Linked DNA regions of Callithrix jacchus. The protein of the gene in region 1 interacts with the protein of each later gene in a biochemical or structural test. Links are inferred from orthologs where the notes say so. Each region holds a gene or a part of one and is shown in the gene's direction. Other genes may lie near its edges. The genes, in order: PINK1, FBXO7 and BAG2.

The links.
Region 2: the proteins of PINK1 (region 1) and FBXO7 form a complex in vitro, tested with the Homo sapiens proteins (2 studies listed by BioGRID, with this or other methods). The link is inferred for Callithrix jacchus from reciprocal best matches to the Homo sapiens genes PINK1 and FBXO7.
Region 3: the proteins of PINK1 (region 1) and BAG2 form a complex in vitro, tested with the Homo sapiens proteins (2 studies listed by BioGRID). The link is inferred for Callithrix jacchus from reciprocal best matches to the Homo sapiens genes PINK1 and BAG2.

Annotation. Positions count from the first base shown.
Region 1 is NC_133508.1:57,507,036-57,510,609, forward strand, and holds the end of PINK1 (serine/threonine-protein kinase PINK1, mitochondrial), read left to right. Parts: coding exon 1-149; intron 150-1,610; coding exon 1,611-1,868; 3' UTR 1,869-3,054; downstream 3,055-3,574. UniProt on the Homo sapiens protein: Serine/threonine-protein kinase which acts as a sensor of mitochondrial damage and protects against mitochondrial dysfunction during cellular stress.
Region 2 is NC_133502.1:203,544,314-203,548,472, reverse strand, and holds the start of FBXO7 (F-box only protein 7), read left to right. Parts: upstream 1-1,281; 5' UTR 1,282-1,564; coding exon 1,565-1,686; intron 1,687-1,699; exon of another isoform or gene 1,700-1,923; coding exon of another isoform or gene 1,924-1,960; intron 1,961-4,159. UniProt on the Homo sapiens protein: Substrate recognition component of a SCF (SKP1-CUL1-F-box protein) E3 ubiquitin-protein ligase complex which mediates the ubiquitination and subsequent proteasomal degradation of target proteins and plays a role in several biological processes such as cell cycle, cell proliferation, or maintenance of chromosome stability.
Region 3 is NC_133505.1:65,540,657-65,544,928, forward strand, and holds the start of BAG2 (BAG family molecular chaperone regulator 2), read left to right. Parts: upstream 1-1,411; 5' UTR 1,412-1,783; coding exon 1,784-1,896; intron 1,897-4,272. UniProt on the Homo sapiens protein: Co-chaperone for HSP70 and HSC70 chaperone proteins. Acts as a nucleotide-exchange factor (NEF) promoting the release of ADP from the HSP70 and HSC70 proteins thereby triggering client/substrate protein release.

The DNA of each region.
Region 1 (3,574 bases):
TCGGGCTTGTCAATCCCTTCTACGGCCAGGGTAAGGCCCACCTTGAAAGCCGCAGCTACCAAGAGGCTCAGCTACCTGCACTGCCCGAGCTGGTGCCTCCAGATGCTAGACAACTGGTGAGGGCACTGCTCCAGCGAGAGGCCAGCAAGGTGAGATTGTCCCTGGCTTCAAGAGGACAGTGTGGGTGGAAACCTCAGTTCTCGTTCCAGAGTGAAGATTAAGTTTGGGCCAGCACCATGGTGACAGAGCCTTTGTTAGGAAGGTGGAAGGTAAAGCCTAGTTATAGGAGAATAAAAAATAGATTTTAATGTAGATAAAAGTAGGAGTGTTAGCCACCACATCATTGTCAGAGTCCTAGTAGTTCAACTCCTGTGGCTATTTCAGTTGCTTAAAAAGTTGTTCAGAGGCCGGGTATGGTGGCCTATAATCCCAGCACTTTGGGAGGCCGAAGCGGGCAAATCACTTGAATCCAAGAGTTCCAGACTAGCCTGGCCAACGTGCTAAACCCCATCTCTACTGAAAATACAAAAATTAGCCAGGTGTCATCACATGCCTATAATCCCAGCTACTTGGGAGGCTGAGGCAAGAAAATCTCTTGAACCTGGGAAGTGGACGTTGCAGTGAACCAAGATTATGCCACTGCACTCCTGGGTGACAGAGCAAGACTCTGTCTCAAAAAAAGGATGTATTTTGGAGAAAGTTTGTTTTTTGTTTTTTGTTTTGAGATGGAGTCTTGCCCTGTCATCCGGGCTGGAGTACAATGACACGATCTTGGCTCACTGCAGCCTCCACCTCCTGGGTTCAAGCAATTCTCCTGCCTCAGCCTCCCAAGTAGCTGGGATTACAGTTGCCCACCACCATGCCCAGCTAATTTTGTATTTTTTTAGTAGAGACAGGGTTTCACCATGTTGGCCAGGCTGGTCTCAAACTCCTAACCTCAGGTGATCCACCCACCTGGCCTCCCCAAGTGCTGGGATTACAGGCGTGATCCACGGCACCCAGCCAAGAAATGTTTAATGGAGATGTAGCTCATGGAAACAGCTGAGAACTGATCAGAGAGATAAATGAGAAACATCTTCCGAGAGCAGATGTGGACATTATGAAATTAATATAAAGGAATGCAAAGGCAGACCTATCTGAAGCCATAATTGGAGTGACAGCTGGCTCAGGGGCAGGCTTAGTGCAAAGAGCTAAGCCATACCTGCATGCCAGCACTGTTTTGCCACTCCGTTAACCACTCCCTGTACGTGGCCTGCTTATCTTGGTCACAGTAGGTGCACAGTGAAGGTTAGAAACTGCAATCAGTTATGAAATGATTAGAGACAACTTAAAGGGACCAGACAGCACAAGAGGCACTGGGCTTTCCACCAGGAGGAAAGGCTATTCCAACAAGCATGCTATCCCATGCAGAGGTGTACATGTGGAAAAGCTTGGAGCATGGGTAGGGGGCAAGCCGTATTTGTCACCTGAATAAAGGACATCAGTAGGAGATAGGGTAGAGGAAGAACTGGATTGGGGCCAGAGAAAGGAAGACCCTCACTAACAAAGCACGCTTTGGGTTGAGACTGTGTTAACAGATGTTGTAGCTTCAGCTTCCCTTCCTGTTGCAGAGACCATCTGCCCGAGTAGCCGCAAATGTGCTCCATCTAAGCCTCTGGGGTGAGCATATTCTACCCCTGAAGAATCTGAAGTTAGACAAGATGGTTGGCTGGCTCCTCCAGCAATCGGCTGCCACTTTGTTGGCCAACAGGCTCACAGCGAAGTGTTGCGTGGAAACAAAAATGAAGATGCTCTTTCTGGCTAACCTGGAGTGTGAAGCGCTCTGCCAGGCAGCCCTCCTCCTCTGCTCGTGGAGGGCAGCCCTGTGATGTCCCTGCATGGAGCTGGTGAATTACTAAAAGGAGAAATTGGAAGGCTCTGTGTCATGATGGTCTGTGAGTAGTGAGGGTGGGAGTCAGGAGACAAGATGGTGCAGAGAGCGTTGGTTAGCCAAAGAGAAGGCCTCAGGCTTGGCAAATGGAAGAACCTGAGTCAGAGTTCAGTCTGCAGCTGCTAACTCTAGCTGTGCAATTTGGGATGAATCTTATAATCTGTGTGGACTTAAGTTCTCTTGCCTGTAAAACGAAGAAATTGGTATAAACCAGGAGTTGGCCACCTTTCCGGTTGTGACAACTAGTCAGTCTTCCTTGTGGCACAAAAGCAACCCTGAGCACGTAATAAGTGTGGCTGGGTGCCAGGAGAGCTTTATTGATGGACACTGATGTTTGGTTTCCATGTGTCACTAGTCTTTTCAACCATTTAAAAATGTAAGGACCATTTTTAGCTTGCAAGCCATATACAGGTTGCAGGCTAGATTGGCCCACACACCAGTTTGCCAACCTCTGGTCGAGATGAATTTGAAGAATCTAACTCTACAAAAAAAAAAAAAAATTTTTTTAAAGCAAACTGATCACTAGGTCTGTTTGTGCGTCCATACTGGGAAGAAAAAAAAAAAATGTGGTAAGCTTATCCCTGTGTAGGAAGCCGAAGGAATGCATTCTCTTCACCGGTCAGGAAGGTAACTCAGGCTTGATTGCAGACTTCAAAGCCCTGTCTTCAACCCTTGCCCTGTCCTCGGACGTCTGAAAAGTTAGTGGCCAAGCTGATGTATCAGAGGAGGCTGAACTGAGGAGGGGTAGGCCTGCATCCACAGCAGAGGATCCAGGCCAAGGCACTGGCTGTCAGTGGCAGTTTGGCTGTGACCTTTGCCCCTAACACGAGGAACTTGTTTGAAGGAGGCAGTGTAGCATGTCTGCATTTGCCACCTGGACAAAGGCAGCCATCAGCATGGGTCAGCACATTCAGTTATAGGAGTGGGAAACGTCCACACGAGGCTTGGGAGGTGGGGGCCTCTGTGTTCCCAAGCTGTGCATTCTGGACCAGCTACTGAATTAATCCCACATAGCAAAGGTGACTGATGAGCAGGAAGTGTGGGGATTTAAACTTGAGGGTTTCCCTTCTGACTAGCATCTCTTACAGGAATTGTGAAACATTAAATGCAAATTTACAACTGCAGACGACATATGTGCCTTGAACTGAGTATTTAGTTTTAAGAATGATTCTTATATGCTGAAGGTAAGAACATTTTGTGGGCAGTTATCAACACTGGGAAAAGATTTCACATATAACTTTATACATGATTTTTAGAACATGGCTATTGCCTAAACAAAGCAAGGGTGGAATGCAGTTAAAATGTGAACATACGGTTAAGGTTCTCTTCCACCGAGCCGTTCTAGCCTTCTCTTACCTGGCTCTATCTTTCTAGATTTCCCATTATTTCAGTGAGTCCCGCCCCTTGGTCTACTAGCAGCTTTCTTGTATCCTTTGAGGAGACCTTAGGAAACACCATCACTTCATAGTTAAAGACAGTCCAGTCTTAGGCAAAATTTCACAAAGACACTTAGGATTTTGTATCCAGTCAGTCATGACCAAACAGCACCCCCATCCCCAACCATAAGCAAAGCAGGACAGAGGCCAGGTGAAGTCTGAGGGCAACGTCTCTCTTTATTTTAGAAATGAGAGTGACTTCACATAT
Region 2 (4,159 bases), on another chromosome or scaffold:
TGTGAGTCTCCAGCATGTGGAGCATCTGTTACAAAGTAGACAGTACATATTTATTTGCAGAATGAAGGGCGCGATGTGGACAAGTGCTGCCACCTACTGGTAGAAACGTTTTGTGACTCTTACAAGGATTTGGACTATGGTTATCATACAAGGATGAAACTTGATTATTCTTTCTCATCTAAGTTATCATTAGTTAGACCCTCTATGGTAGTCAGCCTCCAGAATGGCCAGCAGCAATCCCAGTCTATTGGCATTCATGCCTTTGGTGGATTCACAGAAGGTTGGTTTGTAAATATGACAATAGCCATATGTGACCTCTGGAGCTAGGTAATAAAAAACATTGTGGCTTATGCTTTGGTCTCTCTGGAATCACTTGCTCTGAGGGAAGCCAGCTGCCGTGTCATAGGGACACTCAAACAGCCCTATGGGGAGGTTCATGTGGTGAAAAACAGGTCTCCAGCCAACAGTCCTGTGTCATCCTGGACGCCGATCCTCTGGCCCTAGCCAATAACTGCTGCCCTGGCCTACACCCTGACTGTAACCTCATGGGAGGCCTGGAGACAGAACCACCCAGCTACGTATCCGCAAATCCCTGACCTCTAAAACCTGTGGGACAACAAATGTTTATGGAATTAAACTTTGGGGTGATTGTTATGCAGCAACAGATTTCTAATAAACTGTCCAACATAGAGCACCGCCTACAAACAGCTCTACTTTTTTTTAAAGGCAGGGTCTCGTTCTGTGGAACCAGGCTGAGGTGCAGTGGTGCCATCACTGAGGCCTCAACCTCTGGACTCAATCGACCCTCCCGCCTCAGCCACCCAAGTAACTGGGATTACAGGCACGCACCACTACGCCTAAGTTTTTGTAGAGACGGGGTCTCGCCATGTTGCCCAGGCTGGTCTCGAACTCCTGGGCTCAAGTGATCCACCCGCCTCGGCCTCCCAAAATGTCGGGGTTACAGGCGTGAGCCACTGAGCCCGGCCAACCTAAGGACTTTTAACCTAAGTCTTCTCAGAGCAGATGCCGCTGGAGCTGGGGGCCGCGGAAGAAATGGCGTGACACTAGGTCCCGGGGAGTTACGACTGTATTATTGTCTGCAGCATCCCTAACAGCACCACGGTTGCTCCACGTTAGCAAGTTCAGGAAGTCTCATTCACCGCGGCGGAAGAGCTGGGAAGCCAACGTAAAGCTGCATCTCGGCGCCTGCGCACTGTGCCCATGCTATCAGGTAGAGCCGTTGCGCGCCGAGTCATCGATCGGTCAATTTCCCACCCCCCCGCAAGTCCCGCGGCCAGGCTCCTGTAAGCCGCCTGCCTGCCGCCCGCTCTCGGGGTCGGCTCCAGGGGGCGCCCTCAGGAGAGGGGCGGGTGCTCACATTCCAGAGACCGGCCAGCAGGGCGGCCACCGTAGTGGGGCTCTTTCCCCTTTCCGCCTCAGCAATCCCTCAGCTCCGTAGTCGCCACTCCGGGGTCGCAGCCGTTTGAAGCAGGAGCGGCTCGGCCCCCCCGCTGTCCCCGTCGCCGCCTCTGGGTCCAGGATCCTCGCGGATCCCGCCGCCGTCATGAAGCTGCGGGTACGGCTTGAGAAACGGACCCAGCAGGTGGAGGTGCCAGAGGCGGAGCCGACGCTGGGGCAGCTGCGCACGCACCTGAGCCTGGCCCTGCTTCCCACCTGGGGCTACAGGTAGGCGGGTGCCGGGGGCGGAGCGGCCCGTGGGTAGTGGGGAGTGCTCGAGGTGGGTGCTGGGCGGCTTGGAGTCATCTGTGGGCTGCCGGCGCGGGCGTGGCCGGGCGCTAGGCTAGATGCGTGGACGCCCCGGGGCCATCACGTGAGGCCCGGGCTCTCCCGAGCGTCGCGGAGCCCTAGGCTGCCGGCGACTGGACGCGCAGGTGGTCGTCGGTGGTCCGGCTCCTGGAGAACATGGCCCAGCCTCTTGGGGGCTCTGGTCCTCTGCTTGGTGAGTCATGGCTTCTGGTTTTGCAGTACACGAAACCAGGGAGAAGAGTGAACTCACAGTTCCCACAACTGGTTAAATTTCAAGTTGGAAATGATGAGCTTGGCTTAGGTTAAACCTTTCTGGACTGTCGGGGGTCCGAGTTAATTTCTTCAGCTGTTGGAGTATTTCAATGAAAAAGTTTGGAAATTGCTACAAGTTAAAAATCTGCCCTCCATCGGAGGCAGCTTTTATCGCTGCTGTGAAGCTGCAGCAATTTTAGGACTCTGTTAGAGTGGTTCGTGCACCAGGCACCGCGGTGAGTGCTTGGACTTAGCTGCTGCTGAAAAGTTTTAGAAAGTACAGCGTGTAGTCGTCTTTCAGACCATTCGATTTTCCTGGGCGAAATGTTGCTTTTTGTTAAAACTGAGGAAAACGTTGCTCTTGAGAGCTTGCAGTTTGGGGGCATAAAGTTGAGAAAGGATCATATTCGGTTATTCGTTTATGGGACTCCAGATAAGGTGCTTTGTTTCCCCAAAAGATATTTTTTTGGGGGAGACAATAATCTGGGAGTAAAGTGACAGTGTAAGAGTGGTCTTCTTCAAATACTGAGCTAGTGAAGTTGAAACTTGAGTGTGCTGAGGAAAAATAACAATGTTCCCCGTTTTCACCTTATTTTTAGGGATTGCATAATATGAGGCCGTTATTCCAAACTTCTCACCCTTTCATTTTTCAGGTTAAGACATTATTAGGTTGAAAGTAAGCCTGTTTTCTTCCAGATTAAAAAACAAACAAAAACCTTAAATAAGATGCTGACATAACTCCTTTTAAACATTATAGTAAGTGACATGCCTACTGTTATTTCTTGTTAAACCTGTGTGTTTTCCATATTGGCATCATTACCAGTAGGTTACCAGTAGAAGATTGAATAAATCTTCAAAATTAACTTATCTTTTAAAGGTGTATATATATTTTATTGTTTTTAAATTAGGCAGTCCTGAAAAGATGTGAAACTCAATATGGCTGTTTGCCCAAAGGGGCAAGTTGGTTTCTCTTTCAGATTTGTTTTTACAGTTGAGGCTGCTTACCTGGAAAGAATTTAAGCATCAACTTGTGAAAGTAAACTCTTTTTTTCTGAAAGTATACTCATCTTCTACTAAGTGAGCAGTTTTAAAATATGTCCATATGATATTATTTTAAAAATACTGAGCAAGTGGATCTAGGATTGTCATAAAATACTTTTGTTTCATTTTTGTTTTTTAAGAGAAAAGTGAAAGCAAGTTTATTTAGAAAGTAAAGGAAGAAAAGAATGGCCACTCCATAGGCAGAGCAGCCATGAAATACTTTTAAAAAGCCTGGAGTTTCTAGAATTTCATTTCCTGGAATTAAATACTCCTCTTAACTCCCCAATTTCAGAGATAGAACCCTGGAAAACTACATATTTCTTTAGAAATAGCTTTTCCCGTTTTCTAAAGTGGGAGGAAAAGCTGGTATATTTATTAAGCAGACCATGACCTTTTCTACAGATATTTGAATGTACATTGTACTAGATGCTGTTTAAAAAAGCAACCTTTTGCTGTGACAAATGACCCATAAACATGTAGTTCATTTGAGGTGTTTTTCCTTTTTCTGCCAAAGTTGGGATGGTGTTTTTGTGGGCTAGTGGCAGAGTTTCAACTTTTTGCTTATCAAAGCATTTTGAAAACAGAAACAGGGCTGCTTGTTTTCTGACAAACAGGAATGGCTTCTATTTCACTAATTTTAATTTCTCTCCCAAAGACACCTCAATTATTAAGAAAAAAATATATTTATGAGTGAAATAAAAACATGAATTATTTGGAGCACTTTTCAAAATACAGCTTTATGAGAATAAGTAAACAACATAATTTTTAAAGGACTTCATCTTTTGTTAACCTCTCAAAAAATTAATGAAATTAGCATTGCCAAGTGTACATATCTTTTAAAATGTTTTATAACGTTTTGTTAGTTATCCCTCACTATGTGATGAAGAACATTGTATTTCTCTAATGTCAAATATTCTGTGGTGCAGAAAGAATGGGATTTTGTTGCTTCAGGCTTATAAGAATTCTGAGCTTGTTTAGCAGTGGGCTTTTGGGTTTGTACTATGTCCCACTAAAAGGCATCATAACTGATCATCAGTACAAGGATGAATTTAGCTTGTCATCAGTAAGAGGGACGGATTTATACTCAGTCATATCCATA
Region 3 (4,272 bases), on another chromosome or scaffold:
GGTATGATCTCCCTTATTTAGGATTGCTGTAATTGCTGCACTGAGATAATATGTACATGAGAGACAAGAGTAGAAGCAGGGAGACCAGAGAGGAAGTTATTGTAGTACTCCAAGTGCAATCTTACCAGGTAGCTTGAACCAGAATGGTGGGGTATAATTGGGAAGAATCTAGATAGATTCTGAAGGTAAAATTGATGGGATTTACTAATAGGCTGGATCTAGGTAGGCTATGAGAGAAAAAGAGTTCAGGATGATTCCAAAGTCACTTGATAGGCTTTCAGACCACTCACAAAATGTGTTTTGATTTCGTTTGTGTCATGACAGAGTATTTTTAATAAGGTCAAATAATCCCCTACCCCAATAGTTAATTAGGATTTAGAATGAGTTCAGAGGGAATTGGGATCCAGCCTTAAGGGCTTCAACTCTGTTCAAGTATTTAAACTGCTTTGATCTCTTTGATTAAAGGTGGTGGTTCAACTTTAAACTATTATTATCTATCATTTTCTGTGCCTTGTAGATTTTCATCCTTGCAATGAGAGGCATAGAGCTATCAGGAGAGGGACCAAAGCCTCACTTTTTAAGTAGTCCAGTCTTTATACTCTCAGCTCTACTCCATCTTTTGTCAACTACAGCTCATGCCTGACCTAGAGGCCTTCTGCATCTTTTTGTTAACAGAAGATTTTTAAAAGTTGAAGACTCCTTAATACCAATTATTTCACTCAGAAGTATTATCATTATTATTTTTTGAGACAAAGTCTCGCCCTGTCGCCCTGGCTGGTGTGAAGCAGTTGGCGAGATCTTGGTTCACTTAACAGGCATAATTTTAATAGCAAAAATTAAAAACCCCTTCATTAAGCCCAGCGTGTAATCCAGCACTTTGGGAGGCTGAGGTGGGTGGACCGATGGAACCCAGGAGGTCAGGGCTGCACTAAGTCGTGATCGTGCCACTGTACTCCAACCTGGGTGACAGACCCAGTCTCAAATTCAAAATAGAATGGTAAAAATGAAATATATTCACCTTGCTTCCCACATCTAGCTAGACAAGGAGAGATGGAATAGCTTTTTCTTTTTCAAAGCTTCAGTTGCTGTAGGTGCTTTCATTACTCATCTCAGGAAAGAGTGGTAATAGGAAGGTCAGGTGCGTGTAGTCTGCCTAGAAGCTGTACTGCCTTGTGTTTTACATAAGGCCGTTTTCTCCCCATATCACAGGACTCAAATGTCGTTGTTCTTGCTTTGAATTATGGGTGCTGGGAGAAACTAAACGAACCCATTACTGAGCAATACACCCACAGCCCATCGACCGATAGGAACCTTCGCGTGGGGGGAGTTGGTTACTTTTAGTCTGCACGGAGAGGCGGGGCCTCGCAGGGCGGAGCTGGGGGTGGTCTGTGGGTCCGCGCGCGCTTCGGGTAGTTCCTGGGTCTGAGGAGCTGACGAGACAAGCGGCAGACCCGGCAGACCACATTAAGCGCTACGTCTCTGCGTGCGCCCCTCCTGGCGCCTCAGAGCCTTGCGCTCGTGGTCCGCGCACCTCTTCCTCCGGCCGCGGCTGCTCCCTCGCTGGCCCGGCATCCCCGAGCCCCGCGGGCGCCGCGCCTGCCCTTGTTTGGCCACGCGGCAGCCGCGGTGTTAGCGGGTCCTCTAGGGTTGCTCCCGCGGGCGTCAGAGGCGGGGAGGGCGGGCTCCCGCGTAGTGACGGCAGCGCTTGCAGCCGCAGGAGCGCTCCATTCGCCGCCGCCGGAGGGGCCGGTGACCTCTCGGCTGCCCCACGTCAGAAGCTTAGATGGCTCAAGCGAAGATTAACGCTAAAGCCAACGAGGGGCGCTTCTGCCGCTCCTCCTCCATGGCCGACCGCTCCAGCCGCCTGTTGGAGAGCCTGGACCAGCTGGAGCTCAGGTGAGCGGCGGGCTGGCGGGCTAGCGGGCTGACGGGCGGGCGGTCTCGGGCGTCCTGCTAGCTGCGCCGCGGTTCGCGGACGGAGGCCGTGTGTGGCTGGCCGGGGTCTGGGGCACAGTGAGGCGGCGGCCGCAGAAGTTTCCTGTTGAGATTTGTGGTGGATGGACGTGGAGCAGTTTTGTTTCTCGGATTTTCTCCCCTAGTCCGACAGAGGACGCGTTCGATTTAAGCTAAACCTGTGAGGGCGTAATCAGTGGCCACACTCTGACTTACCTGGGTGTTGGAGAGTGGGAAAAAAAATCAGAGGATATAAAAGTCCCGGTGAGATTCCATGCGATTAAGGACTGTGGCAGCCGGGGTCTGCAGAACTTCTAGAACCTTCTGTGTGGCCCCAGATGTTTTTAACTTACTCTTTTCCCGTATGCGTTTTTAAAGGAGGCAGCAGTTTACAGTGGCCCTTCACGTGAAATTAAGTTTCCCTGCTTCAGAGCACTTCGGAGCAAAAATGGAAAAAAACAAAACCAACCCCGCGATCCATTGAGAGCAGATTAGAGAGGGGTGAGGGGTGGGTGGTAGGGTTACTGGGTGTTTAGTGCAGTGAAGACGTTGCTGCCTCCCCTGTCTCCCCTAACCTCGCTGGCGGTATTCAGCCGCTCCGTTAGTTTCTCCGTACTGGGCACCTCCCTGCATGGAAGACTAAGTGATAGTCTCTGGCCTGAAAGCATGAAAAGGTAGTTTTCTCCTTTTCTTGCTTAAGATTTTATTAGGTAATATAGAAGTAGACGTGCGTAGAATTTCGAAACAATTTAATGTTAATAGATTTATGGAAGGACTTTAACGGTGTATTGAAAAGTTTTATATACTTCCTGTTGAATGTTTGTTTCAAGTTCCTGTGAAATTTTTGTGAACAAGTGTAGTTAAAAGAAAATCGTGTTAGGCACCTGCAATCCCCTGAATCTGTACACAGGAGTTGGTTCCATCTTTTTCTCTAGGTTGTGCATGAGCAGAGGCATGTGAGCCAAAAAGTTGGGGAAACACTCTGTGTGTGTCTTTATCTCCCTCCATTAGTATACCCAAGCATGAAGTGTCCGTTTGCCGAGAAAATACTTCAATAACCACGGTATCTCTTAACTAGTGAGGCACTGTTACTGTTACTACTGGGAGAAAAGAGCCAGAGAGGGAGAGATTCTCCACTCACGATAATTTCATGGATGGCAGCAGAGAAACCTCAGCCCTACGCCGGGTTTTGGGGTTCCACTCAGAATTAGGCAAGTGGAAGAGAGAAGTAATGCTTCCTCATGGATTTTCTATGTACTAGCAAACCTGACCCATTCCACTCCCAGGAAAAGTAGAGCGAAAGCAGAAATTAGTGGCTTCAGTTACTTGAAGTCCCTCCAACTGATAATGTTTCTCCTTAGGGAGCCACGTAACAAGTAACCCACACTTCTCCATATCTTAAGAATGTTAAGGGCATGTTCTCAACCACTTCACTCTGGCTCTCCCTTAGAAAGAAAAGATTTTTTCCTAAAGGAATAGGGAGGATGCTACTCCACCCTGCCTTCCTTCAAGCGGAGTCATTGTCCTCCAACTTGAAATGCCTCACATGTGGTAGGTACAAAAGCACTCTGAAGTGCTCCTCTTTAAAATAAAGCCTCAGGTTTTGAAGATTATTATATTCTAATGTTTGATTAATGTAAAATGAATTCTGATTACTGCACATCACTGATTAAATTACAACTTGCTTAATATTTGAGTTGAGAAAAGTCTGATTAATATGTGGCTGTTTGTTTCAAGGCCTTTTTTTTTTAGTAGTTCTAGACTTTTGTAGGCTTTTTTTCTTCTTTTTAAAAAAGTAGTACTGGCTGAAAAGGATTTCTGAAGGTAAGCAAAAATAGAGAAAAAATGCTAATACTGATCCTATTAAAGTTTTTTTGAAACCACATGGGCAATGGCACAGAACACTACACTATTAAAACGAGAATCATGAGTACAACAAGGTTGATTTTTAAAAGAAACTAGGAAACTCTTATGTAATTTTGCTCTAGTAGTTTGATTGTATGTTGAGTAATAAAGTAGTGTAACTGGGTAGAATAAAACCTTACAGTTTGTACTTAGCTGTGTGCACTTAACGTTCCCTAACCACATTGGTCCTATCAATTGAGTAAGAAATTTCTTCCCTATGAAACTGAAAATAGGATTATGCCAAATGTTTTGTGACCTGGAGTATGAACTGACCTACATGATATTTAAAATGTTTGACAGCAGTTCTACTAACTGTTAAAGGTTTTTATTTATCTCTAATGGAATTTATCTAAACACTAGCCTTTTTTCTTTGGACTGCATTTTGTCTTCTGTATTTCTTCCTTCTAAAGGTGA